Lonchura striata: one gene and its partner. The protein of the gene in region 1 purifies or fractionates together with the protein of each later gene. This does not show direct contact. Links are inferred from orthologs where the notes say so. Each region holds a gene or a part of one and is shown on either strand. Other genes may lie near its edges.

The links.
Region 2: the proteins of KLHL15 (region 1) and NUDCD3 purify together in Homo sapiens (co-immunoprecipitation; 3 studies listed by BioGRID and IntAct, with this or other methods). This does not show direct contact. The link is inferred for Lonchura striata from reciprocal best matches to the Homo sapiens genes KLHL15 and NUDCD3.

The regions. Positions count from the first base shown.
Region 1 is NC_134604.1:103,846,404-103,861,213, reverse strand, and holds the start of KLHL15 (kelch-like protein 15), read left to right. Parts: upstream 1-8,181; 5' UTR 8,182-8,273; intron 8,274-8,477; exon of another isoform or gene 8,478-8,588; intron 8,589-14,810. Other genes in the region: EIF2S3 (eukaryotic translation initiation factor 2 subunit 3), read right to left, coding at 646-767, 886-1,013, 1,472-1,535, 3,851-3,919. UniProt on the Homo sapiens protein: Substrate-specific adapter for CUL3 E3 ubiquitin-protein ligase complex.
Region 2 is NC_134634.1:5,381,599-5,396,552, reverse strand, and holds the start of NUDCD3 (nudC domain-containing protein 3), read left to right. Parts: upstream 1-8,715; 5' UTR 8,716-8,791; coding exon 8,792-8,983; intron 8,984-10,407; coding exon 10,408-10,700; intron 10,701-14,954.

The DNA of each region.
Region 1 (14,810 bases):
TCCAAAAGAAGTTAATCTTAGTACAAGTGCTCTACTGGGAATCTGAGAAAAGGAAAGACACATGGTCACAGCCCACATGTATTTTACATAAACACAAACTAAGAATCTTGTACAACAGTCTTAATGACTACTCTTGTTTGAACAATCATTGTGCAGACCCATATAACCACTGCATATAGACCGTGCTATACTTTATCAGAAATTGAGTAAAGAACACTTGGCCTCCAGTGAGAGGCCTGATCTCACATTAAGCATCAGGCTTTTATATATTAATTTAAAAAACTTTGGAAACTCTGCCCTCAGGAAGAAAAAGTTCAACAAAGGTCACCCTTCCAGAAAGAATTTTAAAGATGCGTTTGTGAGTTCCACATTAGTTCTCAATCTGGCTGGTTTTAAAATGTACTTATATTAATAGCAGAAATTTAACTTCAATGTTCCGCAAGTAGCTGAGGCCAGCAGACACAGCTGGGCTCAACCATGAAATGCTCATCACCACCAATGAATTCAGTTTAGACAATGCCTTAGCCCAGGGGTGCCAGATCTAAGAATGTGCAGTCTACCAGAATCCATTCAGCTCACAGCTCAATCCTGTTTCCATACACAGGGAAGTAAATACAATTTATTCCAGCAATTTAAAGCAGTTACCTGACTAGTTTAAAGTTCCCTTTGGTGCCAGGAATATCTGTAGGGAACTCATCTGGGGTGCTACTTCCACAGGATCGGTAGCACTCTGGTCGAGAGCAGCTTGGGTCATCCAGCTTGTAAATCTGTGATTATTTAAAGTTGAAAAAAGGTTTAATTCCTCAAGGGTTAGTTACCTGTAATCTTTCATCTCCCCTGAAATATATTAGCAACATAGCTGCTATATTTACAGTGATGACTCACCTTTGCATTAGCATAACCCAGCTTGATTGTGATATTTCTTTCCAGTTCATTTTTAAATCTGACAGTATGAACTCCAGATATAGCTTTGACTACTGTTGACTTTCCATGGGCTACATGACCAATTGTACCTGTGTTTTAAAAGGAAATGTTTGTCAATAAACCACAGTTTAATTCTGTGCAAAGCTCCACTACAATCAGTACAAAATTACCCCAAATTCTTCACAGGCAGTAAGTTCATATGGCATACATATATAATTTGTAATAATTTTTATTGAAACAAACAAGACCTGAAATTGTGCTCCCAATGGACAGATCTTTGCATTTGAATGAAAGTCATTTCAATCCTTTATTTCAAGGTAAAATAAATTTTGCTTTAGCAACTATTCCCCATACCATTCAACTGTGCTCCTAAAATAAAACTGGTGCTTTATAAATCAAAAGCGCTTGACAAGTCCCTAAAACTACTATGTTTTGTTTCTGTACATATTTCTTGAAAGTATTACCACACAGGCACCATCTGCTACTGCACCAGCATCAAAAAGAGACACCTTAACACGCCCCTCTTTTTCATAAGGTTTTTTTTTACCTATATTAATTGTTGCTTGTCTGCTGATGACTTCTGGTGAAAGTGGCGTCAACTTGGTAACATCCTGTATAAGGGAGATTTTTAAATTTATTCATCTTGTATATAAATGTTTAGCAAGTTAAAAATTTAGAAACTTGAAGGTCAACTGATAGTTCTATTCAGCAAAATCCAGTTATACTATGTGCATTCCAGTCTTTTAAAAGTGTGAAATCCATGTGAAAAGTGATCCAAGTCTTGCTTGTGAATCAATACAGGCTACAATTCAAAATCCTGACTGTGAAACAGTCTTGTCTGCAAAGTGTTAAAGATGGGAGTAAACAAAACAAGAAACCTCAAAAGAAAATTTTAACAAAAGACCCCAATCCCCTACATACCCCTGAACCTAAATTACACATAACAGGCAAATTCATTTTCAACAGTCTACATGATGAACTGCACTAATATTTTATAAACAAAGCTTTGTCAATAAACAGTTGTTTAATTGGTTCCATTAAGCCAATCCATAATTACAACTAGGAGTCAGTGGGTCCAGAGGTTTCATTAGCACCATGGCTTTTTTTTCTTTTTAATGGTTATTTTTTCCCTCGGGTACTGTTATTGCTGCTTTAGGTACCAGACAAAAATTCTGCTGTCCTAAGTAGTCTGTTGTGTGAACTTATTGGTAGCCACCGGCAAAACAAAAACCTCACAAATAAACTCTGTATAGATAAAGAAACAACTCTGAAAGAGTTGCTTAGGTTTTTTCAAAGCTGTTTGTCCAAATAATGGACAACTGCTGAAATCCACTGAAATGTTCTGTAAAGCTAATATCCATCCTGCATCGAATTCACATGGATGAGCTACTCAGTTCAAGCAGAGACATGATGTCAGAAGAGTCCTCAGTGCAGGACAAAATTTAAGATATAAATAATACAAACATTAAATCACATATTGTTTACACTGTTACATGAAAGTTCTGTGCAAAATGATCAAACACATCTGTGTAAAAACATAAGCTCAGTCATTCTGCTCTCAAGTATGACATTAATAAAATGTTCATCTTCAATACAAAGCAAGTTTTGAACATCTAAGACACACAACTAAATTTATATTTCTCATATATGGAACTTAAAATGACTTCCCAGCGATGGGAACGTGACCTGCAGATGGCACCATGTAGCCGGGCGACCAGAATTTCAGCGTGATGCAATTCCTGCCACCAGGAGAATTCTTCCTGGTGCATGAAATCGTGCACGCGTGCAGTTTTTTCCTCAAGACTGGTACAAGGGTATTGCTCAGCAAGAAGCTTCACTCAGCCGTAAGCACTCAAGGGCCGCCAGAATAAGCCTTTAAAGGTAATTCCTGCTGACCTTCCAGCTAGTCTCTATCTGTGCCTTTCCCAACTAGGAAATGCCATGGTCAACAATGACAGGAAGAAAAGAAACCATCTGAAATAACTAACACACTGCCGTAGGGAATTCCTGTGCTCAAGCCCAAAGAACATAAAATATTATTACTGTTAAGACAAATAAGTTGTTCCAGTTTAAACACAGGAGACACAGCAACAGGATTTTTGACTATGTACATTACAATACACTTGAATTAGAAATATACATTACATATACATTTAGACTAGCATATAAGTGTAATAGGTGAGGCAGCTCAGGTGAGACATTTAACAGGCAAGGCTGCCACAGCAGGTGACCACTGCAACTGGTTGAAGTGGTAGCTGCAGTGGTAGGTAGATCTGGTATTTCTCGGCAGTTTTTAATAGTCAAGAAAGTTGTCTTGGCAAACCAAGACAGGGCTAATAGACAACTCCTAGAACTTGCTGTAGAGAAACGGCTCAAATTTATGGTTCTATCTCAGAAAGGGAAAAATCTTTAATACGACAGAACAGGGCAACTCTTACTCGAGGAAAACTGCACCCACCAGTGAGCCATAAAAGCTTCAGCGGCGCCGGCGGGACACGGAGCCGCGGAGCCTTATGCTCACCGGGAGGAGAAGCACCTCGCCCGGGCGCCCCACACCCGCCAGGACCGGCGGGACCTGCTCTGCGCGCCGCCGCTCTGCCCTCGACCCGCGGCCCCTGCCCTCGGCCGCCGCTCTGCCCTCGACCCGCGTCCCCCTGCCCTCGACCCGCGTCCCCCTGCCCTCGGCCCGCGTCCCCCTGCCCTCGCCGCGGCCCCTGCTGCCCAGCGTGCTGAGCTCGGCTCCCCGGGCGCCGCCGCCTCCCGCGCCCCCTCGGCACGCATCGGCAGCGGTGGGGCCCGGCAGAAGGCTCCCAGCTCCTGGGGCCGCACCCCTCGCCCACACGCCCGCCCCCTCCGCTCCCGGGGCGCCCCCGCCGAGCTCCGGGAGCCCGATCTCGCTGCTGGGCGCCCCACGAGCGGCGCTCACCAAGGTGCCGAGATCCTGCCGGCTGAGGTGCGGCTGCCCCAGAGTCACTCCCGCCTCGTCCCCCGCCATCTTGCCCCGAGTAGGAAGTGAGGAGCCCACGCGGCCGCCTGACTGCCGGCTCCTCTCCGCACAGCCGCTGCCGGCCCGCAACCTCCGGCCCACAGCGCGGCACCGGCCGGCCCGGGAGCGGACACCGAGCTCAAGGAAAAGCCGCGATCAGCGCCGGGGGGCCGCCATCTGCCCCGCAGCGGAGCGGCCACGAGTCAGGCGCACCAACGGGCAGCCCTGTAAAGGACCCCCCAGCACGGTCGCCATCACGCCGGATGATGCAACCGGGGCCTGCGGCGGGGCCTCGCAGCGTGCGCGCGCACGGCGCGGGAGCGCGGGCACGGCGCGGCGGCGGGAGCGCGGCGGGACGGGCGCCGCGCAAACCCCGCCGGAGCGGAGCGAAACAGCGCCGTGCCTGCGGGGAGGGCTCGCTGAAAGACACACCGAAGGCAGGAGCCCCTGCCGTGCTCGGGGTTTGTTGCTGTGCGGATTTATTTGGGGTGCCCGGGGGTGCGGTGCAGAAGGCACGATATCTGTGTATGCACTGAAATGAGCGCATCGACCGCGGTGCCTGCTTCAACAGTAACAGGTCACCGCACGTGTGTCAGAACCTCTGCTGGCCATCGCCGTGAGGAGATCTTTCTTATTTTAGCTTTTTTCTTGTTACTGTCTTTGTAGACTGGGCGCTTATTGTTAGGGAAGGCATGTGGATGTGAGAGTTGCCCCAACATACCTAAATGTTTTGTACGAAACAGGTAAAAATCCCACCAAACACTTGCTGTTCCCAGAGTTGGGTATGACATAAATTGAATAAAATCCCTAATCCAGTGATGAGAGCCAGTTTAGAGGTTCACCAGAGAGTAAAGGTTAAATTTCCCTGTTCTTCATGGGAACCTCTTAAAGGCATAGAAGATGTTGCTGATAGTATTTCCTCCCTGGTCAGGGAAGCAGGTTTCAATGCAGGTAACCAGTTATCTCAAATATGTGTGCGTTGTGCCAACAACAGCAGCTTTATCTGTTGGAATACACATTTGTTCTCAGACTCTGCCTGGCTTTGCAGGTCAAAAAAAGCAGGTTTGGGGCAGGCAACCATGTGACTGAAATGTGATGATGGAAATCCGTGTGAAACTGGTATGCCTGGTTGAACAATGGTTGTAACCTCCCACTTTCACCTATGATATTATTTCCATACTTTCCTGATACAAGATCTAGGAGTGAGTTCTGATGGGTATTTGTAGAGCAAACACATTGCCACAATGTTCTTGATCTGAAGAAATTAACAGGAGCACATTGTAAGAAACCTTTCAGTATCTATGATGGTATTGCCAATGACAAAATGTATTTTGTCTTGCAACCCAGTCGTGTTGGACAATGGTCTGGAAAATAAATTTTCATAATCTTGTTTCAGGCCACACGGTGTTTTCAATTTTGTATTAAATATCTCACTTCTGGGAAAAACCACTGAAATACATGAGGTGTAGTGAGAACATGATGCAATACTTGGTTGTAGTTGCCTCGATGTTCACACATGTATAATCCCTCTTTTATGAAAATGAACTGAAAGTGCTGGACTCTGTAGTTACTTAGCTGCTTAAATTATGCAATAAATGCAGTGCAGTGTGTGTAAAATTATGGAAATAGTTTTTGTCACATTTGAAACAGCCTTTAAAAAGGACTCAATCCTTGTCAAACACCCTGTCAGGAATATGAAAAAAACTACGCAAACTGTTGCTTCTATTTTAACATTGAGATTGTACATTTTACATATTCTGAGGTTCTCTTGCTATTTTGATTCACTTATTTGGAAATGTTTGTAATATAAAGAAAAGCAGAAAAGTCTAAAGTCTGTAAATGTCTAATTATTGTAGGATCCTAGAATGGTTTATGTTGTAAGGGACCTCAAAGATCATCGAGTTCAAATCTTCCTGCCATGGGCAGAAACATCTTTCACTATCCCAGGCTGCTCAGAGCCCCGTCCAGCCTGGCCTTGAACACTTCCAGGGATGGGGCAACCACAGCTTCTCTGAGTAACCTGTGCCAGTGCTTCACCCTCACAGTAAAGAGTTTCTTCCTAGCACCTAATCTAAATCTGCCCTCTTTCAGTTTAAAGCCATTCTGCCTTGTTCTGTTACTCCATGCCCTTGTGAAAAGTCCATTTTCTAGCCTTTTGGGCCCCCTTTAAGCACTGAATGCTTCTATAAGGTTTACTCAGAGCTTTCTCTTCTCCAGGCTGAACAACCCCAACTAAAATAGGTAAGAACATTTCTAGGAGTTGACATTATGTCATATGTCAATATATGTGTATTGGACATTTATGTATTAATTAAATAAAGTTTAAAAATATTAGAATTAGATCCTAAGTAGCATATTAATATAGCTCAAAAAAACTACATCCAGAATTCTCTTCATCGCAATAGTCTTATTTAAGCTAGTGGTAACTGTTTAGCCACTGACTTTGTACAAATGCCTAAATCAGAGGGGTCAACCCAAATCTCAAATTAATATTCAGTAAGGTAATTTTGAGACTAGTGGTCATTGTCAGAGGCCTAAATGTAATTATTTAATTTTTTTAGGAGACTAGAATTGAGACATTATTAACATATTTGATTTTTTGGTAGAAGCAAATTGTTCAATGTGAAGGAGAAGGGTATGAGAGGGTTTTTTTGTGCTTTGAAATGTTGAGCTGTTTTAAATGTCAAAGCTGCTATGGTTTTGTTTTGTGGCTAGGTTTGAGGTCCTCTTCTGTGATTCTGTGACAAGTGTGTAGGAGAGACCTGAAGACCATCTTGCACCTCAGCTTGACACAAACTGCAGACAGCAAAATGACAGTCAGGTAAAACATAAAAGTCTTGCTTAGCTTTTTCTGCCCTTGCTGACCCATGAAGGTGAAAAGTCTGAGGGGTGCAGAAGTATGCATGAAGTTTTGGTTGTATCATTTCTGTATATGAGAAACTTAGTTCCTACTCATTTTTCTTTGTTGAAGCATTAGATATGGGTGGGTACATGTTTGCTGCAGCAGATATCCATTATGGAAAAGGGAGGGAATGTCTTGGAGACATAGGTGGCAGGAACACCTGCTGTCTCGGCAGGGTCAGTCTGTAAAGGCCAGTTTTTTCACCATAAACACACAAGTAACAGGTTTTAAAACAGTGACTGGGGAGATTGGGTAAATTTACTGCATGAGTGAATGAGACGGAGTAGTAAGGCAAAGCCGAGAGAGGTCTGGCCATTGTGATGAAGGAGTGAATGGGAACTTGATCGTAGCAGAGGGAGCAGTAGGTAGGCAGTTGAGGGGAGTGGGAATAGCATTGGGAAGTCTTTTGTAAGGCACCACATGGAGTAGCTGATTCATTTCTTGAAGCTGTGAAAGGTGGGAAAGGCATTCAGCTTGGGGGTAGCAGGTATAGAGAAGGTACTCTTGTTTTATAAATCAAGAATGGGGGGGGGGTGATAATGAGAGACTGAAAATAGGATGGGAACAGCAGTAAACAGGGAGAGGATGCCAGCCTGTGGCCTGCTATTTATATGGTTTGGGGGTGGTAGTGGCAAACCAAAGGTCCACGTAGGTTAGTTCATCTCGTACAATGAAATCTGAGTTTGCCAGGCAAAGGCAAAATAGCGAAAGCTAAGGAGTACTGTTTGTACTAAGGCAGAGCCCTGCTCACCCCCTCGGGGCCGTGCTCCCTGTGTGCAGTTTGTTCGCTGCTCCAGCGCTGCCGGCCCTGACCCCTGCGGCTCTGGTGACCCGGTTCCCACGGCGGCTCGCAAAGCCGCCTGCGGGAGCGGAGAGCTGGCATCAGCCCGCGGGAGCGGCTGGCCGCTGTCCGGGGAGGAGCGCAGCCGGCAGCCGGCCCCGAGCGGCGATTGCTGTACCCGGGGCGGGATGCAGCGCTGCAGCGGGCAGCTGCCATAGCAACCTGGGAGCTGCCATCGCCTCGGAGAGCTCGGCCGCAGCCTGGAGGCAGCGGGGCGGGCGAGAGCAGCGCAAGACCGACCCTCTGAAAGCGGACGCGTGTGGATGCGCGTCCTCGCGGGCCGGACGCAGATGATGCCTCTCGGTGTCGCGTTCTCCAGCCGTGCTCCCCGGGACGTGCCGGGGCTCCGGCGCCTGGCCGAGCCCGCACGGGCCGGAGCCGGGGTGCCGGTGCTGGTGCCGGTGCCGGGGTGCCGGTGCCGGGGTGCCGGTGCCGGGGTGCCGGTGCCGGAGCCGGGGTGCCGGAGCCGGGGTGCCGGTGCCGGGGTGCCGGTGCCGGGGTGCCGGAGCCGTTCCTCGCCCCGGGCCCGCCCGCGCGGCCGCAGGTGCGGCGGAAGTGACGGCCGGCGCGGTGCTGCCGGGGGAACATGGCGCCCGCGGCCGCGCGGGGCAGCGCGGAAGGTAAACAAGCGTGAGGGCGGCGGGGACCCCGGGGCCGAAGCCGGGCCGGGCGCGCCGGTGCCCGGGCGGCGCGGCGGGGGCGGCTCCCACCGCCCCCCCCGAGCGCGGACGGCGGGGAGGAGGGAGCCCAGGATCCCCCCTTCTTCCTCCGCCTCCTTCTCCTCCTCCTCCCGGCTTCGCCTCAGCCATTGCCCCTCTCCGCAGCCCCCCGGCGCCTCCCTCCGCCGCCCCCGGCTGTATGGTACACGGAGCCAGGGCCCCTCTCCGCCGCTCCAGCGGGAGGAGCCGCGTCCTCAGCGCCGCCGCCGCCGAGAGGTGGGTGAAGGATCCCGCGGGCCCTCCCGCCGCCGTCGCTCGCCCCATCGAGGGCGGCCCGGGCGCCCTCCGGGCCCTCGGGGTCTCTCCTCCCCGGGGCGGCGGGCGGGGAGCAGGCGGGCTGGCGCGGGATCGGGCACGGCCGCGCCGGGCGGGGCGGGGCGGCCGCAGCCCCGCCGGGCCCCTCGGGCTCCCGCGGCCGCACGTCGCGGAGCCGGCCCGCCAGCCCCGCTCGCCGGGGAGCTCAGCCTGCGAGCGTGCGAGCCGGCAGGCTGAAGTAGGTCATCTGAGTTCCTGCCCCGAAAATGGCCATTTTTACCCGCCCCCCTCCCCCATCGTACCTGATCGCGGCAAAAGTATCCGTGATCTGAACGGGTAGAGCTACCCAGATGATACTAGAGCTTTGATGTGTTTGGTGAATACTGGAATGTCACTTAAAAATTTGAACTCCTTGCCTTTTCATTGTTTGGGGTTTGGGTTTTTCTATTCTAATTTAGAAAATAAATAGGAGAATTATAAAGTTATTACTAGATAAAAGGACAGAACTACTGAAGTCTGGCTTCCTGTGGACTTGTTATATAAACTTGTCTGTAGAATAACCCAGCTCTTGCACCACCATTGCCCCAGTTCACATTCAGATCCCCTGAGAATACCACCATGCACAACACATACTTCCTGTGTTTTCCCTTCCATCACCTAGAAAACGTGTTTAATTTCTACCACATGTCCTATAAACTTTCCACTGACACTCATCTCCTTTCACTTTCCTTAATTATACCCTGTGGCTGGTTTGGATCTACACATGTGTTGATTTGCCTTTCAGTGAGCAGAGCACAGCAGATAACCATTGAGCTCACACTAGAGATATCAGACCTTTTTCATTCATCTAGCTGCCAGTCTGGGGGATATGTGTAGAAATAAAATAGGTTTGAGATTTCTGTGTTTCTGACAAGTGAGTTTGGTATTTGGTAGTAAGGTCAAAACCTGTGTGTCTTGAACAAAGGGCACAATTAATGTCATTTTCTCAGAAGATGCTAGGAGTACATACTAAATTAGCAATAAAGATACATATAACAAAAAGACAAATGGAGGGCATAGTTTAGCAATCCTAATTTAAATTTAAAATATTTTTACTAACATAGTTTGAATACTACTTCTTACTCCTTTCTATCTTATTACGCTAAAAATTTATGATAAGTCAGAAAAGATAGGATTTTTTGTTACTAACAGATACTTAGCTTGCTACTTTTCTGTATAAAATACACTACAATTTTCTTAATAAAAATCTTCACAGTGACAGAATCAGCCTTTATTCATACCTTTTTCTTACATTCGAAATCGTTACTCATTCTATAAGACAGATATATATATATGTATGTGTATATATATGTAAGAAGGACTGCTGTCATTCAGGATAGAGCAGTCCTGTCCACTTTGAGAGCAATGGCAAATCTGTACTTTTCAACACTACTATAATTTAACTTTTAGTAATATCTAAAAGTTAAATACAAGTATTTCCACTTAAAAGGTAATTCTCATTTTGGTGGATATATCAACTGTTTTATACAGTGCACCTGTTCTGGCAGAGCGTTGAGCTGAGCTTGCTCTGTGTTTGGGAGCAGGTTTTTCTGTGCACGCGTTGGGATGCAGTGACTTCTTAGACAGGTGGTTCAAGCCATCTTAGTGTCTGTGAAGTGCAGTTACAGGTTCTGGCACACGTAGAGTGAAGAGTAACCATGCTGAGCTGAGGCACAATCCATGCTGAGTTTTAGCAGGTTTGGTTGTAACTGGTTCTGGTATTTTTGACATGGCTGTAATGACCATAATGACACCAAGTGCCGCTGCTGCTCTGTGCTAATTCAGATTGTTCCCAGATAGCAACAGGAGCAGAGATTGTCGAGGGAGCTGTTCTGGTCAGCTCTGTGTCCCTAAGAAATGGAGTCTGGGCAGCTTTCAGGATTAGCCAAATTTTAAGTTCTGGCAGTCTGGTTCCTCTGACTGGTGGTGATTGGTAAGCTCCTAACTTCTCCATTCTCAAGTAATCCAGTGCTTTTGAAATTCTCAAGATGGATTGGATGAAGTCTTAAACATGAACATAAGAATGGGTTGAAGATAAATGGTTTCCCAAATTTAGTGTCCTAATTACAAAGGATTTCAGATAAAACACATGGAAAGTGGATGTATTTCTTTGTTCCCTACGTTGCAATTGTTGTAGCAATAGAAAGTTTTGATAGCCACTGGTTATTGATCTATCCCACATGATATCACTCCTTCTGTTGCTGTTAGTGGAGGATTATGATAAAAAATTGACAAAATTTAATGGTTTTAGTTTTAAACCATGTAAACAAAGGTTTAATTCGGGGGATAAATTATTTATGCTGTGTATGTTATAATTGTACTGTTACTCAGTACATTGCATTCAAAGGCCCAGCCTTTGGCCATATGTGCAGTTGTGAATGTGTGCTAGTGTGTTCAAATACTTGTATTTTCATATGTGTGTATAACATTTGACTATGGAGAAATGTCCTTATTAACAAAACTAGGCTCAAAATATTCTGCTCTAGGCAGCCTTTCCTTTGCACCTGATCAAATAAAGTGTGCATGATGGCTTTAAAAATTACATTTAAATGCATGCATTTGGTGGATGGAAGAGATTATTTTGTTTAAAGCTCTATTTTAGTACATTGTGTAACCAAAGCATGGTTCTGTGTGTCTATTGAAATATCTTTATAGTGTAACTCATAGATAATAGTGTTTTATTATGTGAAAATTTGTTGTTCAGCTTGTCCACAAAGATGATTTCTTAGAATATCTATGGGATAGGTAAAATGAACAAGTACTCCATAATTAGTAAACAAAACAAATCTTGCTCATTCTATCTCAGCATCCCAGATAAATTACTAAGGAACAACAGTAAAGGAAGTCTGAAATTTCGCTTTGAGATCGTGTGGTAGACCTGGTATTGTCAATACTTTCCTAGGACAATAAATTTCTATCCCTAGAAAATGCATATAAGCTTACATATGACATAAAGACACATATTGAAAAGGCTCTTTTTCAGGTAGTACTGGTCTTGGAGAGATTTTAAATCCAGGAGGGCTTGAGTCAAAAGCATTTATTCTGTGACTTGTTTCTCAATAACCAGTGCATTTAGACTCCATTTCTTCTGCTTGTGACTAAGAGCCTCAGACACCCTGAGGAAAGAAGGTTCTCCTTGTTTAGCAAGAAAAAGCAGTCTAGAGTAGGATTTTCAGACTTTCATTACAGCTGCAGAATAAAAATGAGAAATCAGTGTTCCAAGTAAGTGGTTTTACAGTTAGAGCACTGTAGAATCTAATGCATTATGTGCTTAAAGAGGAAAAAATGTAAGGAGCAGCTAATAAGGTTAAATGTATTTCTCTTTTGGCTTTTCAGCAGAGTCTTCCTGTGCTGCATTATCCTGATCAGCTCTAATACGTGCAGAACAGTAACGAATGTCAATGTACATTGCCCCCCACCTCCCCTTCATTGTTTATACATTGGATTTTTTTTGTTCCAGTTTTCCTGTAGACCACTGCAGGCTTCATGTCTTCCATTGGATTAAGTGTGCAGCTGTGATTTGCATGCATGAAGAAGATCGAACTGAATTTTCCATTTTTATTGAAAATATGGAAAAAAATGTTATGTATTGTCCTCTGGGAAATAACTGCAGCATTTGAATAGTGCTTAGAATTACATCAAAGATTGCAAGTATGTGTGTGGGAGGAATGGCATAGCTATGCTTTAGAAAAATTACTTGGTTTGAGAGTTATTTTGTATTGCTTTTTTTAATGTTTGAACTACCACATTGCTATTTGCTTTTGACAGAGGATGTTAGCTTTAGAAATGAAGATTTTTGCCAGTTAAGCATAATACGCATTTAATTATCTACTTTCACAGTTTTTGTACTATTTTAACCCCTTTGTTTATTTGTACTGGCAATACATTTTTTTGTTTTAAAGAAAAACTTATCTGCTGATAATGTACATGGCTTTATGCCAAGAAAAGGATATTTACTCCTTTTATTTAATGCAGGAAGACAAGTAGTCCTTTTGCTTTTCACTCATGGAATTCTGAAGCTTCTTTAGATGGTGTAGGGAGAAGTCTTACTGGTTTTGTGTCTAAGTAATCCATTAAATGCTCACTGCTGTTCAGGAGGAAAAATACGTTAATGTTGAAAACTGTCGATTTACTAAAAGTAATGTCAGCAGGAATGTGAAAAGAAGGATTAAGTGATTTAAACACCTACATTTTTAAAACATTCAGAAATAATAATTTCAAAGTGTTGACTCCTTTCGTACTGTTACGGAGATTTGTGGCTGACTTGGTGGTTTAAATATTTTTTATGGAATAGCTAGTTGTAAGGAGATGTAAAAATTGGAACTCTAAAGGGTACCTAAATACAGGTAGGTTTCATTTCTCAGTATTTCAGTGATTGCTGCCTTGTCAGATTTAAAATTCAAAGGATAATAATATATATTTATTTTTTGGTGTTTGTATATTTGTCTTATTTCTATTTAATCAGAATTAAAAAGAAGGTTGCAAAAAAACCCCTACATGGTTGCAGTGTCTGTGCAACAGCAACACAATCACAGATTCACAGACGAGTTGAGGTTATAAAGGACCTCTGAAGGTCATCTGTGCCACCTGCAGGGCCACCTAGAGCCAGTTGCCCAGGACTCTTTGGTGATGGTTTGGTTGAGGGTTTTTTGTGTTGTGTTGTGTTTGTTTTGCATTTGGAGTTTTTGTTTGATTGTGTTGAGTATTATTTACTTGTTTTCCTCCTTAAAAGCAATACTGGAGGTGCATATACCATGTCTCCACTTCACTTCCAGCTTTTCCTTTCTGCTTCTTCGAGGGTAGTAAAAGAGGCCTTTCTTTTAGGGCCATCTTGTGTACAAGTTAATTTTTCTCCTTTTATTTGAGGAGTACCCATAATGTAATTACCTTTGTCAAGGTAAGGGCAAGGATCCTGCTGTGTGTTTGGAGCTTGCTGCTGTGGTTTTTCAGTGCTGTTAGGTACACAGTAATGCACATAATCTTTTGAAGAACTCCCTTCAGTAGTATTACCTGTGTGATGGGAGATCCCACTATTTCCAGATGAATATATAATTGCTTCTGTCAGTTGGGGAATGTTGCTTAATTTTTTACTTTTTCTCCCCTGATACATTGTTGTGTTATTCTGTTCTCACTTTCACATTTTCAAATTCCAACTGTCCTTTCCTATATTTAACCCTGATCATGGAACTGATGCTGAGCCAAGTCTTAGTTGGTCTCCTAAAGCTCTGTAATTTACACAGTAGTACTGTCTGAGAGTCCTTGTAACACTGAGTCTCTTGGCTGATTCCAGACAGCAGTGAGTTAAGTCGCTGTATGTTCTATGAAAATGAGTGGCCCATTTAAAGGCAAGTGATCATTAAATAGTTTGAACAGGAAGGACTAAGGTATGAGTTCAGCTATTATTAAATATCAGAGAACAGGGGATGGGAGGAAAGGAATTCCAGTGCTCTGATGAAAAAAGGAAGTAAGCTAATACTGGTCCTTACCTTTTTATTTGATACCAGAAATCCAGTTAGAAAACAAAATCCTGTGACGTCAGACCTTATGCTTCCTCTTCAGTTGGGTGCTTCTTTTTGAGGTAATAAGAATTAGTGAAGTGGTTCTTTCCTCATCTGCTTTTGTGTAAGAGCTGGCAACAGCTAAGAAAATTACCTGATGGTAATTTTTCTTTCTGGTAGGCATTTGATGTTGAGGAGTAAGAGACTCACAAAGGGAGGTTCCAGAGCAGTTTGCATGTTTCTCTTTGTCTTCAGTGACACTGAAGGGAAGGTGCTGCATTGGATACTGGTGAGAAAGTGATTGGACTGTCATCTTGGTTCTTTGCTCCTGCTCTTACTTTCAGGAATTTGAATTCTGTGAGAAAGCCTTAATTGTAAGGAGCACTCCCAGCATTGGCTTTATCATGCACAGAGCCTGTCATCAGGCTTCAGCAGTGTGGGAGTGGTGCTAATCCCACGAGGTGTGGCTACACCCATTCACCAGTTTAGTTTTGCACAAAGGGTATGTCCAGTTGGTTTTCCAGGATGTGTGCTGAGGAGTGAAGGAGAGGAGATGATTAAGCATTGATGAGTCTAATAAAATGCATTCCTGTTACAATGGCAGCAGCCAGAATGTGGTGCTTGAAGAAGTGGGGGTAAGTGGTAA
Region 2 (14,954 bases), on another chromosome or scaffold:
CCGCCGGTAACGGCCGCTCCCGCGCGCGCCACCGCCCCCTCCCGCCGCCATGCGTGTGTGCGCGCGCCTGCCCGTCACCTCCGCTCACCGGCTGGGCCGCGCCGGCCGCGCCAACCAGGAAGCCGCAGCTGCGGTGCCGCTCTGGCCCCGCCGCCCTCGGGGCCGCTCCCCGCCGCTGCCGGTCCCCGCCGCCGCCGGTGCCGGTCCCCGCCGCCCGGACTGCCGCGGCCGCAGCGCCCGGCGCCTTTAACACCGCCCTCCGCCCCACGTGACCGCGGCCCCCGGCCCCTCCGGCCCGGCTCCGCCCTCGCTGCCCATTGGCCCGCCCGCCGGGGCAGGGGGCGGGGCCGCGCCGCCATTGGGCAACGCCGAGCACGGAGCCGGGCCAGGCCCCGCCCCCGCGCGGGCAGCGCGCCGGAGAACCACGTGCGCGCCGGGGGAGGGACCGCACCGGGACGGCTCCGGGACGGCACCGGCACCGGCACCGCACCGGCACCGCACCGGGACGGCACCGGCACGGCTCCGGGACGGCACCGGCACCGCACCGGCACCGCACCGGGACGGCTCCGGGACGGCACCGGCACCGCACCGGGACGGCACCGGCACCGCACCGGCACCGCACCGGCACGGCTCCGGGACGGCACCGGCACCGCACCGGCACCGCACCGGGACGGCTCCGGGACGGCACCGGCACCGCACCGGGACGGCACCGCACCGGCACCGCACCGCACCGCACCGGCACGGCTCCGGCACGAGAATGGCATGGCCTGGCACCGGCACGGCATGGCCCAATGTGGGCTCTGCTCTAGTGTGGCACGGGCACAGCCCAGCACGTGTGAGGGCTCAGGCTGGGCTCCAGCACAGCCTGACACAGTTTGGCATGGATGTGGGGATCCGTGTGGGTCTGGCCCACATGTGGAACAGTTCTGCTCAGCTCCAGCATGACCAGCCTCTGCCAGGCACAGCAACAGTGCTGCACCAGCTCAGGCGGGCACTGAGCTGCTGAGCGCTGGGCTGGCACTCCAGTGTGCCTCAGTCCCATGCCAGTTTGAACTGGCAGCAGGCATGGGCCTTGTGCCTGCACTGATTGGGACCAGCACCAACCCAGGGGCTCCCACCGGCCTCAGCAACCACACGTAGGGACTGAAACCAGCAGCCACCAGCATCCAGCTGAGTGGTGGCAGGTCAGGGGATCCTGCAAGATCCCAGGAGGTTCCCGGGAGGTACTGCAGGGTCCCCCCAGCACGTCCAGCCTGGGTGACACAGGCAGGGGTGAGCCCCTCCAGTGTGCAGCCATCTGTGCACGCGTGTGCACATCACACGCGAGGGGCATGCGTGTGCCCTGAACAGGGGGAGCGCCGGTGCCCGTTCCCATCTCGGGGTGATCATTGCCCAGCAGGAACCACGGCTCAGTGGTCAGAGGCCACGGGCAGCCCCAGGGCAGGGGTTGGCCGGCACGGGAAGCTGGGGTGTCTGGCCAGGGGTTGTGCCGCCCCACGGGTCAGTGGCTGAGGGCTGGCCACGGCCGGGCCATCGCGTCACGGGGACGCTAGTGACAAGGGCTTGCAGATGGCACCGGGTACGGGGGGAAGTGGCCAGGGTGCCCCAGCCCTGCTGCATGGCTGCCCCTGCGTCACCCGGCCAGAGTCCGTCCTGTGTCCCCATGGGCCCTGTGTCCCAGGCCACGTGCAGCACTGGGTGCACAGAGCCACAGCACAGCCCGGGCTGGGCCTGGGGGCTAAGGAGGGACGTGTACCTGGAGCCTGGGGACCCCTTGCCACTCTCAGCTCGCCAAAGCATTAGCAGGGGATGACCCCATGCCTTTCCCCTGTCCCCACTCCGCATTCCTGTAACCACTGGGTGTCCCAGTCTGCCCTAGGTGTGTGAAGTGAGGAAGAAACTGGCAGGAGTCTGGATGAAGCTGCTAGGATCCATGTTCTGGGCCCCCAGATCCCATAACCCTGTATCCCAAAGCTGAGAAGGGATCCAGGTGTGTCTACACCCCTGCAGGGGTGGGGGCAGGTCTGGGGAGCAGTGCTGGGCATAGAGGGTGAAGGAACGGGTACGTGGGGTGCAGCGCTGAGTGTGTGGGATGCACCAGACATGGGGCACGGCACAAAGTGTGCAGGTGTGTGGCCAAGTGTGGAAGGGTATGGCAGTGAGCCTTGCAGAGGGTACAGAGCCTTGCACATGGGGAGCAGCATTGATCACAGAGCTGAATGGATGGGGCGCAGGGCCACGGATATCCTGGGAAGGAGCAGGCCCTTCGAGATGCCCCCAGGACACTGCAGGATCCCAGCACTGGGAGGGGATCCTTAGACCTTTGTCAGCTTCACTGCTACAGTGATCCCCACCCCTGAGCAGTGGGACTGTGACACTGGAGGCACTTAAAGCAGTGAGGCAGCATCTGGGAGCTGCTGGGAAACGCCCCGGGAAACACTCCAGCCTGTAGCCGTCTCACCTACAAACTACATCCCCCCGCCCCAGTAACACCAGTAAGTCTGTAACTCCTGCACTGGGTGCCTTTGATGGATGCTGAGTGTGTCCTGAAGTCCACCTGCTTGGCATCACCACTCCCAGTCCTGGTGCTGGCTTTGACCTGCAGGTCCCTGCACGTGCCCTGGTGTTCAGCAGCATCACTGGGCATCCCAACACTCATTGGCACACTCTGGACCTCTTAAGTGTCACCAGCACTCCGAAACCCCCAGCACCGAAGCTGTTGGTGTCTCTGCCTACCTGGGCTCCACTCCTGACTGATCCTCTTATTTCATGTTGTCCTACTCGGTTGTTAATTGGTAATAAATTAAAATTAATTTTCCTGAGTCAAGTGTTTTGCCCATGACTTAACTATTGAGTGATCTCTCTCTTCTAACCTCACCCTAAAAGTTGTTTCACTGCTCTCACCCCTGCCACACGTGCCTACATGGCCCCTCTCTGTGTCACCAACTGGGCACCGTAAGTGTGGTCATGTTCCATGAGAACTTACACGATGCAGATTCATGAATAGTTTGGTTTGTTGGAGCAACAGAAAAGCAGGTTCAGAATAAATGCACGAAGCACTGAGTGTTAATATGTCATGACAAAAGGTATAGAACAGAATAAAGCATTCCGGGGTCTGTGTGTTGCTGGAGGCTGGGAAGCACCCAGAAGCACTCTGGACAGCAGCCAGACACAAGGGTCCTGTGGCAGAGCTCCACAGGGACACCTGCACAGGCAGCCCACCTTTTCCTGGTGTTCCAGTAAGCTGGGATGGAAAAAGCCCTGTCAAGGTCAGCCCCAGCTCACTCATCCAGCTCCTTTCCTTGCCATGCATTTCCCCAGGAGATCCTGCCCAAGCATATGAAACAATCTCACCTGCATGGGAGACCTCTTCCACTCACTGTGTGCTGGTGGATCACTGGCAAAGGTATTAGTGAAAACAAACCTGAATCACATTGTGGGTAAGGTTGAAAGCGACAACAGTGGGATCATCTGGTCCCACCTCCCTCCTCAAGCAAGGTCATCTGCAGCACATTGCACAGAATTGTGTCCAGACAGTCCTGGAATATCACAAGTGGGTGAGATCCACAACCTGGGCAACCTGTTCCAGTGCGTGGTCACCTGCATAGAGAGGTTCTTTCTCATGTTCAGGTGGAATTAATGTGAATTTGCAAAAACACAACAAAAGGTCATGTCCAGGGTCACTGTATTGCTTACAGCATGGATAATACATGTAGTGAAAATCAAATTAGAATCAATTTGAATCAGTAGCATCATGGGGCTCCCCGCACCCCCCTCAGTACCCAGGGGACCCCTAGGCCCTGCAGTGGGCACCCATGTGAGTTTGCTTCCAGTACAACACAATTGATTTTGCTGCTGGTCTTTATTTAAAAATACAAATATTCTCCAAATATTCTGCTGGGTTCTGGCTGGCTGGCTCAGGCACCTGCGAGGTGCCTGTGGACAGAGGAAGCTGCTAAAGTGTGGCAGGCTGGGTGTGAGGGTGTGGAGCAGTGCTGGGCACCCCGTGGGCCGTGGGCACCACTGGGGAGCTCTGGGCAGAGCACCGAGTGCCAGCTGACAGCACCACAGTGACTTACTGGGCACCCAGAGCTCCAAACACCTCATGCCACCCAATACTGCTTCGGCAGCTCCCCTCCGCCCCGCCAACTCACTTTCTCCTCTTCCTCCACACATGGAACACACAACACAGCACCATTCCCAGCAGCATTGAGCCAAGGACCGCCACGATGCCTTCAATGCAGAACTTCTGGAAAGAATTAGCATCCACAGCGTCTGTGTTTGCCCTGCCCAGCACCGTGTTTGGGTCTGCCCTGCTATCCGCAGCGGTCGGCTCTGCCCCGGTGCTCCCAGCACTGGCAGATCTCCTGCTGACAGCGCTGTTGAGGTTCAGGCTGTTCACACCTGGAGGACCAATTGTGCACGTTAGCATGTCCTGCACACATCTGGCAATCTCGCTGGAGGGCTGGCATTGCCAAGAAATGTTCTTTCTCACTTCACTAGCAGCTCTGAACAAGGGAATATCCTGTGGTAACATTTCCACGGCTTCAGTAGAAACCAAGGGAACTCCCAAAGGCCTTGCAAGTCCCCACTCTCTGGACCCTCTCTCTCCTCTCAGATTTGCTTACACTTTGGAGTAGCCTTAATCCAGTTCTTCCAGTGTCTGCCTTTGCTCCCTGCTCCTGGGGATTCTTCCCATGCGCCCACAATTTCTGTTGTGCTCTGGCCAGGGATGATCTGACTGGGCAAACACAGTCCCCCAGGACTCAGCTGGAGACACAACTGGCAGTACGGACTCTGGACCACCCTTGCAGCTCAGCATGACAGGGAGAGTCCCTCAGTGAGGGTCTGGTGTGTGTGGGGGGGGTGCTATGGTGTGCCCCTACATGCACCTGAAACCTCAGCTGCCCGATTGTGTTGGGCAGGGGTGACCTGTACCCACCTCCTAGTATCATCCTCAGCTTCCTCAGGATTTCATGTAGCAGTTTGGATGTCTCCACAGAAGATTGTCCCCTTTCATCTTGATACTCTGGACCTTGATGCAAAGAATAAAGTTGCATTTTGCCCCCAGCAAACCCTGGAAGCAGCCCTCAGGCCATGCAGTCGGTCAGGACTGACGAATGACTCCTAAAGTGCCAGGGGAGTTCCAGTGCAGAGTCCAGCCCAGAAGTTGGGAAAGCCCTGCCTGTGCCCACAGCTGCAACCAGACCACACAAGGAGCTCCTCTCATACCCTGGAGCACCATCGGTCCTGACAGAACAACAGAACAGGGAAGAGGCTCACGGAAGAACACAGCACACCCAGGCTTTGCTCCCTGTCCCTAGGGATCCTTCACATTTGTCCACAACTCCTCTTGCACTTGCCCATCTTTCCCTTTCAGGGCTCAGCAGGTGCTGCCCTGGATGGAGACTGATGCTGAAGGATACAGCTGTCCCCACGGACAGGACCCCGGGGGCTGGACAGAGAGCTTGGAGGGAGCACAACTGTCTGACCAGCCAGCCCTTGGAGTCAGGTGGACAAAACCCATTCCTGTGTCAAGGTGAGCCACCTGCAGCTCTCCCTCCCCAGCCCATCACCCACACCCCCAAGGGGATACAGTCAGGCCCTCTGGGGAGATACCTGAACTTCCCTCTCCCTTGCTGCCTTTTCTGCAGTACGGACAGCATTTGCCTGCCCCCAGTTTTCAGGACTTGTCTCCCACTTACAACCCGTGGCAGGACTGCTCCGTGCCTGGATAATTTTGAAAGCATTCCTATATCCTGGACGAGGGCCTTCCCCAGGGTTGGCCAGCACTGACAGGGATCAGGGAAAAGTAAACGCTCAGCATGGCTCAGGCACAGAGTTTGCAGGAGGATGATGTAGGGTGCCCCTCAGCCATGCCGATCTGAGAGTGCACCCCTCTGGAGCCTGGTTCTGAGGAGGGATCGCCCCTTGTTGTGTCAGGGCCTCCAGGGTCTCACAGCAAGGCCTGGCATGCAGGTGCTGGGGCAGGGACATTAAATCCAGAGTCACATTTCCCATAATTTGCTGAGGGCTGCCCAGGTGGCCTCATTTCCAAAAGAACTAAGTTCTGAAATCCCTGAGAAGGGAGTGTGAGAGCTGGTGAGCATCCTGTTGCATCCACAGAGTGTCTGAGCGTGTGTGCCTGGGACAGGAACAGCAAGAGCCTGCAGCCCAGAGGTGACAGTCACCGCAGAGCTGCTGCTGGCACTGGCAGCTTGGCACGGGGCAGAGCCTGCAGCCAGCCGGGGCTGAGCGGCCAAAGGACAGCGACGACCCACACACCTGAGTGAAAGGCCCCGGTGCTTTGCCCAGGGCCTGGCACCGCCTGACCGCCTTCCTGAAGCGCCTCCTCCTGCGCCGCCATACGCTCCAGAGCTTGGGAGAGAAAGAGTGCCAGGTGAATTGCCAGTCACAAAGAGTGCCAGGTGAATTGCCAGTCACAAAAAGTGCCAGGTGAATTGCAACTCAGAAAGAGTGCCAGGTGAATTGCCAGTCACAAAAAGTGCCAGGTGAATTGCCAGTCACAAAGAGTGCCAGGTGAATTCCGAGTCACAAACAGTGTCTGGTGAATTCCGAGTCACTGCTGCTCCTCAGATCTGTCAGAGCTGCGTGCTGGCCCTGGCCTGCCCACCTACCCATGGCCTGTGCTTGCCACGGAGCAGCCCCAGCGTGTCGGGCTGGCAGGGCCACCAGGAGCAGGGTGAGAGTCAGGGCCCAGCGTGCCTGCACCATGATGCAGCTGCTGCTGCTGCAGCCCGCAACGCCCGACCTGCACTGCGCATCTGCAGGGCTGGGCTCTGCAGCTCCACAGGCACTTTGTGACCTCATGGGGCCTTCTACCAGCAACGTTCTGCCATCTCCAGGGTGGGCACAAGTGTTCCCCAGCTGCTGGTGACCGGTCAAGCAGAGCTACCAGATTCAGCCCTTCCCCAGTGTGGAAACCCAGGGCACCGGGACGATTCCACCAGGAATGTTTCTCTGGCTGCTCTGGGGTGTCCTGACCCCCAGGGCAGCACTGACTTTGACCCTCACTCATGGAGAAAACTTCCAAAGCCTCAAGGTTAACCAGAAACCACAAAAGTGTGAAATAGATTGTAGAGAGTAGTGGAGTATGTCACACGGGTGAGAATCTTAGCTTTTAGGACTTTTAATATGTTATAGATGGGTTCAAGATGGAGGATATAGGGTGTTGTCTCGAGTTCATTTTACTTCCTTCCTCTTCCTTCATCTTCTTGGGTTTAGGTGGTATCTTGTAATTGGGTAGAAAAATCCACATTTTGAATTGGAAAATGTGGATCTTTAGGGCTCAGTTATTGGGTTGGAAAGGAAAATCATTTATGTGTCACTTCTTAATTGGGTAGCTTAGTTTTTGATTAGACTTAAAAGGCCTTGTAACAAGAGATCGTTGGCCATTTTTGTGCTGTTTTTTGTGCATGCAGAGTGTGGTGCAGACAGCGTGCTGAAGTTTTGATAAGATAACAGTAAACAGAAGCTGAAGAACCAAAAAAGTCCAATGCATCCCTCCTGACACAGAACTGCTCCAGGTGGGTCTCCCCTGCCAGGGGAGCCCAGGGAGTTGCCCAAGTTGGGGCTCACAAACTCACAGCCCAGCACACACAGGGTTCTCTGGAGAGCTGCTCTAGTAAACTCTGCAGAGACCACCTGGGACTTTACAGAGCAAATCCCAGTGCTCCTGGAAGTGCATGATGGCATCAGGCAGCTGCTGGTGTGGACCTGCCCTGAACTTGGACCAAACACTTCCTGGAGTTCCCCTGGAGGAGTCAAGTCAGGAGCTGGGGATTATCTCAAAGCCTTTGTGCCCCACATCATCCTCAACAAGGACTGTCAGCTGGCACATGGAGCTGTTCGCTTACTTTGCCCCTCATGGAGTAAGGAGCATCCTCAGGAAAGCAAATAGAACTTGTGGGCTGAGATAAAAAACATTTAATAATTGAAATACAGTAAAATAATAATAACAAATTTTAAAAAAGGAGGGAGAGAACACCCAAGAAAACAAGTGATGCACATTACAACTGCTCCCCAATGCCACAGCAGCCCCCAAACCCCTGTGAGCCCTTTGTTCCGGGTACTCCCTCACACTGGGCACAGGGCACGCCTTGGCCAGTTCAGCTGTGCCAGCCGTTCTTTAGGGCACCTCCTCCCTGGCACAGCACCGAGACACAGAAAATTCCTTGGCTCAGGGCAAGCAGCGCCGTGGGGCCACCTCTCCTGTCTCCTGCGGGATTTGCTGCCCATCCCACAGGCCCAGAGCACCACTGCAGGGCTGCCCTGGCCACCAGCACCCCCCGTGCCTGGCACAGGGCCGGGGGACATGGGCAGCGCCCGGCACGGCCCCGGGAGCGGCCCCGGGAGCGGCCCCGGGAGCGGCCCCGGGAGCGGCCCCGGCACGGCCCCGGGAGCGGCCCCGGGAGCGGCAGCGGCGGCGGGGCTCGGGCGCCTCCTGCAGGCCCCGAGCGGCACCTGCAGCCGCGCCCCCCGCGCGGGCAGAGCCGGGAACGGCGAGGGGAGGGGGAGCCGGAGGCACGGGGGACACGGAGAGCGCGGGCAGCGGGGCACCGGGGACATGGCGCCGCGGGGTTCGGGCGTCCGCTGCTGCTCGGGGCGGCGGGAGGTCCCAGCGGTGCCACCGGGGGACCGGGAGCGCCTCGGAACCCGCAGCGGGCGGGAGGGGCCTGCCGGGCGGGCGGAACAGAAGCGCGCCGGGCGGGTTCCGGGCGGACCGGAAGCGCGGCCGATCCCGTTGCCGTGACAGCGGGCCCGGGCCGCCATGGAGGCCGCGCTCACTGACATGTACGACCAGGCGCTGCTGGGCATCCTGCAGCACGTCGGCAACGTCGAGGAGTTCCTGCGCATCCTCTTCGGCTTCCTCTACCGCAAGACCGACTTCTACCGGCTGCTCCTGCGGCCCGGGGACCGCCTGGGCTTCCCGCCCGGCGCGGCGCAGGCCATGGCCCTGCAGGTACCAGCGGGGCGCGACGCGGCCGGGCCTTGCTGCCGCGGGCCGAGCGAACGGGCCGTGTCTTCCCGGCTGCGCGGTGCTCGTGTCGGGCCGGCGGCGGGGTTCGTGCGGGCAGGGCGGGGGTCGGCGTTGCCCGGAGGAGCGCAGAGCAAGGCAGGAGAGGTGCCTTGAAGCGGGGGAAAGCGTCGCCCTCGTAAGAAGACGGGAAGCCCCCGAGGCAGGCGAGGACTGCGAGACCCCGGTGGGAAGAGCCGGGTTCGACATCAGCTCGGACGTTGGCCCGAGCTTGGGTTCGTGTCTGGTGTACCCTGAAGAGTTTTTGGTATGGGCAGAGTGAAGGAGATGCAGCGTTCCTGCCGTGGGAAGGGGTTAGTGTGGCCTCCTGGCTGCAACCAGAGGTTCCCCGAGTGTGGGGACGGTGTGCAAGGGGCTCATTCCTCCTCATCCTTGCCCAGCTGCAGTCCGGGGGATGCACTTCTGAGCTACTGCTTTGCATGATCCACGCAGGGCTGGTGCTCACCTCTCCCACACCCTCCCCTCTGCTCAGTGCGTGGGGAGGAGAGCTGGAGTGAGTGGCACGAGTGTGTGTCCTGTTGTGATGGTGCTGGCAGGGCCATGTCCTTTGTCCTGCACCTCCTGGACCCAGAGGAAGACTCAAATCGAGCAGGTGTGCCAGTCCGCTGCTGGAAGTACTAAATCTGCCTCCAGAATGTTCCTGGGAAACGAAGGAGGGCATTTTAGAAGGTGTTTACAGTGCCAAAGGCTAGCACTGGGGTGGGAGACCTTGCAGGCCGTTCAGGAGGCAGCTGCAGGGTCTCAGTGGCCATCACCCCTTGCTGCAAGGGCCTCACGTCTGACCTCCAGCCTGCACTGGACAGGCATGGCTGGGAGCCAGGTGAGGGGTAGGGTTACATCTCCTGGATCACATCTGCTCCTGCACCTGTCTGCCTGGACACAGCCAGTGCCAGGTCAGCTGTCCTGCAGCTTCTCTTGGGGCAGCTCATCCTGCTTGCCTCTTGGAGACACTGTCTGAGACCAGGCATGCGAGTGGTCCCTGTGTGAGCCCTGGAATGTGGGGAAAGGGAGGCTTCATTGGAGCTCCCTCCCAGCCGAGGGCTGAATCTCACCACTCTGCTTCTCCCTGGAGTAACCAGCCCTCTTGCCAGGCTAGGGTGAGGTTGGCTCTGAGAATACAATCCTAGAAACAATTCCAAAATGCTGCCAGGAGTTTCTGAGGTGTGCTTGATGTAGCCATTGGAGTTTTCAAAGAGTCATCAGCTGTTTGTTTTGGTGACTGAAGCAGCTCGGGGTAGGTATGTGGTGCAGAGAGGAAAGAGCAGGTGCCCCAGGCGTGTGGTGCTGCTCATTCCCTTCTCTGGGCAGAGCTGGAGCGCTGCTCACTGGGTTTGCTCTTTCTCTCCCAGGCATTCCGAGTGTTTGAACGGATGGCCAGGCAGGATGATGAGAAGAGGCGCCGGGAGCTGGAGGCGAAGCTGAGGAAGAAGGAGGAGGAGGAGGAGGCAGCTGCAGCCGCTGAGAGGGTGAAGCTGTGTCCTGCAGCTCAGGAGATCGAGGTGGAGACAACGGAGCACATCCCAGCTCCAGAAGCTGGGGAAGCTGAAGGCACCCAGGAAGCAGCTGCAGCCCAGGGTGCTGCAGCCCCCAGCCCAGGGTCAGTGGAGCCTCCAGGGGCTGCTGCCCCAGCAGAGCTGCCCACGTAAGAGTCTCTTACTTTCTTCACACTCCTGGTGGGGGGAGGCAAAACTGTGGACAGGGCATCCTCTGTTCTCTGCACAGCTCTTTTTGGGTTTTGACCTTCCTCTGCAGGCACTCAGCCTTTCGGGAGGCTGTGAGGATTACCCTTGCAGGCTTCCAAGGCCAGAAGCACTGTGTAACTCCCCACAGGAGGGCAGTAGTTGTTGTCCTGTGGGTGGATCAGCGTTTCCCACTCTGGTCTGAGCAGAGGAGGTGGCATATCCTGTACATGGCCCTACAAAGCTGGGCTGGGCCATGCAGCTCATCCACAAACTGGTTATGGTGTGCATTTTTCCTTTTCTGGCACTTCTAAGGCTCACAAGGAAGTGCTGGCACCAGCCTGCAACCTTTTTGTGAGTGCTGGACTCCCTGGCGTGCTGGGAGACATCCCAGAAGCTGTATGGGAGTGTGCATGGATACCTGCAGTACCTGCAAGTTGGTGCTGGGAGTGTGCACAGATACCTGCGAGTTGGTCTGTGAGTATGCATGAATACCTGCGAGTTGGTCTGTGAGTGTGCATGAATACCTGCAGTACCTGCCAGCTGGTGCTGGCAGGCCTGGCCTGTGACAGGGGTTTGGAGCCCTCTCGAGGTCTCTGACCCAGCCCTTGGCTCAGAGCAGGGCCAGCTTTGAAGATGAAGCTGATTTTTCTCTTTAGCTAGGCGTGGTGGCTTTCCAGCAGTGCCAAGCAGGCTGCATTTGTGCAGAAATGTCATTGAGTCAAAGTCCTTCCACAGCTTCTGGGACACTTCTAGCCTGACTCTGCTGAGCAGCAAGATGCGAGCTGCGGAGGGTCAGCGTGGCCTCTCTGAGCCATGTACTTGAATGCAGGTCCTGTACAGGCTTCACTCGTCCTTCCCTGGCATCACCTTGACCCTGAGCCAAGTCAGAGCTGCCCAGCCCTTACTCAGGGCCCTCATGCCTCACTGAGGTTCAGACTCCCGTGTTTCTTTGCTGACCAAGCTGGGGGAGTGGTGCTGTGAGCTGGCTGTGCAGGCTCCATCTCCTCCCGTGCCCGGTGTGTTCTGTGCTCAGGCCCCGTGTGACGGCTGTGCCGACCCTCTCCGATCACCACAATGGTCCTGACCAGATGTGGGGCTTTGCTGCGCCTCATCCCTGCTGTCCCACTGGTGCTTGGTGAGGAGGGAAGCTGGAGCTGGTGATCCCTGTCCTCCCAGCCAGTTTTGGAGGTGTCATTGGGAAGAGCAAGCTGCCAGAAAGAAGTGGACCACTGAAAGAACCCCAAATCCTGTAAGGACTGGGATGGCTGATGCCCCTGAGGGGCAGAGAGAATTCAGAGCTCAGATTTTGGGGCATATTCTGTATGCCTCAGCATATGGGAGGTACAGTCTGAGAACCAAAATCTTGGGAGGAGCAAAATGATAAATGGCAGGAGCAGAGAGGTTTGGTTCTTTCCTCAGGAGATGGCTGGGCACTCAAACAGGCTCTGTGGTCGTGGCTTCAAGGCTGCCAGAGGTCAAGGAGCATTTGGACAATGCTCTCGAGCAAATGGTGGGATTGTTGAGGTTGCCCTGTGCAAGGCCAGGAGTTGGACTTGATGATGCTCGTGAGTGCCTTCCAGCTCAGAATATTCCGTGATTCCATTATTCTAGGACAACGGTGGAGTCAGGTTCTTGGCTGGAGGCCGTGTTGGAGAAGAGCCTGAGCTCTGGCTGTGCTGGGGAAGAGCCTTAGATTGGCCACCACTGGGGAGGGGGAAGGGGGACCGGCAAGGACTTACGTGTAACTGGTGTGCATCCCACGCGGTAAAGATAAGCCAGGAGCCAAAAATGAAATCATCTGCAATGCCTGTCTTGGAGCTCTCTTGGTAAAGGTGGGGCTGCCAGTCTGACCCCGATCCCTGGGCAAAATTAGCAAGTCAAAGAAAACCCCTGCTAGAGTGCACAGCAGGGGCCTGGGTCTGTCCAGCCCAGCTGTCTCCCAGTGGAGAAGAGAGGGAGAGATTGGAGGCCCATGAAGCCGTGAGCAGAGGGATCTGGGCTCGGCTGAGTGCCAGTTGCTCATATCCCCATGGAGGCCACGTTTGCTGTGGTTTGCCCCATGAAGTTTCACCTCAGGACTTTGGTTATGGGGCAGCAGCTGGTGTGAGGAGAGTTCAGCTGCCTGAAACAAATGTCAGCGCTGCGGGAAGGAAACTGGAGGGATCAGGAAGGAAGGTGGGGGGCTCGTGTGGGAGCAGGATCAGTCTGACAGCGAGTGTGGTGGAGCTGAGAGGAATGGTTTCCACTGTGTGTGGTGAGAACCTGATTAGAACTCAACCCTTGCATGTGCCACCCTCTGTGTCCTGGCACTGCTGGAGCTTGGCCCCTGTCAAACCTCAGACACTCAGATGCTGTTTTGCAGCCTGCAGCTGTGGCACTGAGCACCAAGCACTGCATGGCAGCTGTCCTCTGGGTGTTGCCGTGAATAGAAGGTGCCTTCTGCTGCATATAGCTGCCACTGCAACTTCTGCCCTCCCCAGTGGGCTCTTCTGCCTCTTCTCTTGCTGCTCCCACCGCCCCAAACTCACTGGTGGGGTGGAACAGCTGCAGCCGCCTTGGTGCCTGCCCAGTTTAAACACGTGGTGGGTGAGACCGGGTGCAGGAGGCTCCGTCCCAGCCGCATGAGTCTCGTGGTTTCCAGCCAGGGGAATGGGGTGGCTGCGGGCTGGAAGTGGGGCAGGTTTGGCCCGGGTTCGTCAAGGCGCTGCAGTTGGTTTCCGAGCCTGTGGGGGGCACTGGAGCCCCCAGGAAGGCAGCGGGGGCCGGGCGGGCACCCCCCGACAGACTATTAATAATTTAACCAACTGCTTAATTCTCCACAGCCCCTTCCTTCTGAGTAAAACCCGGAGCTACCAGCCTGAGTACGAGGGGCGCATGAGTAATGCACAACTCTGGCAGCAGGAATGCAGAAAAGAGCTTAAACAAAAATATTTTCCATCTCCCCTTCCTTCTCCCCGCCCCTCCAGCCGCTGGTGAAGAAAACCGCTGCCACTAAAATCTATATAAAAACTTGCTCATTCTGTCAACCTGACGGCTCTGGAAATGTAGGGCAGGTACCATCCCAGATCTGCCAGCTCCCATCAGAGCCTCGCGCTGCACCCGGATGCTGGGGTATTGGTTGGGAACATCTTACAAAGCACAGTGAGATGGTAGCAGCTTTTCGAGGGTTGATCCAGATGAATCAAGCCAGTTTTGCAGATGTGGAGGTTTTCAGGGCTCAATTTGGGGCTTGGCCAGGTCTCTCCAACTCCCTCACCTTCCCCACTTGTGAAAGGCAGGTGAATCAATTCCTCTTTGCTGCCCTGCATCTTGCTGTGCCAGATCTCCCAGCAGCAGCTGGTCTAAACACACCGAGGACGGAGGTGGCTTTGGAGTGACACTCATGCCAGGAGCTGTGCCAAGGGGGACAGAGGTCTCTGTGCCACAGAAGAAGCCAGGCTCCTCTTGCAGCTGCCCCAGTTGTTCCAGCTGTCCCTCCCCAGTGGTTGCAGCTATCTTGCTGTCCCTGCCTTGCCAGGAGGGTAGCAGGCCACAGCCCTCCTCACACTTCACCACGGGGCTGTTCTTCCTCGCGGTGCAGCTGCACAGTCCCAGCTCTGGCTCTTCCCCCATCTGCTCCCAGAAGCCATCCTTGCCTGAGCTCAGCTCCTAATTTTGAACACCTCTGCTGCCCAGCACCCTCCCCTTCCCCCAGCTTGGATTCCATCCTGCATATATTTGCCACACAGCATTTAAAATAGAGCCTGGCAGCCCACGTGTGGCACTGCGCAGCCCGGCCTGTGCTTGTGCTTTATGACTTTGGTTCCTGGCTTCCCTCTGCTCCTTGCTTTCTCCCAGTGTGAACTGGGGGGGAAGCTCTCATCCCCCTGTCCTGTGAGTCCCGTCTCTTACTCCATGCATGGGCAAGAGATAGTGCAGGAGGCTGGGAAAGGCAGTCCTGAAGCCTGTGCATGATGGTGAATGTCTCACCTTCATGTGTTTCTCCATCCAGCTCTTGTGTCTCTCCCAGGTGCTCCAGCCATGTGTGCTCAGCTCTGGTCTGTACCTTAGAGATCATCTAGGCAGGTGAGGTCTCTGAGAGGAGGATCTTTGGGTGTGGACGGCACAGCCAGGGCTGGAAGCAGGGCCACTGGGGCATGGAACAGCGTGCCAGGTGGACCCAGGAGGATGGGCAAGTGCCTCATGCCTGAGGAAGCCTTTGGCTGCTGCTGGGC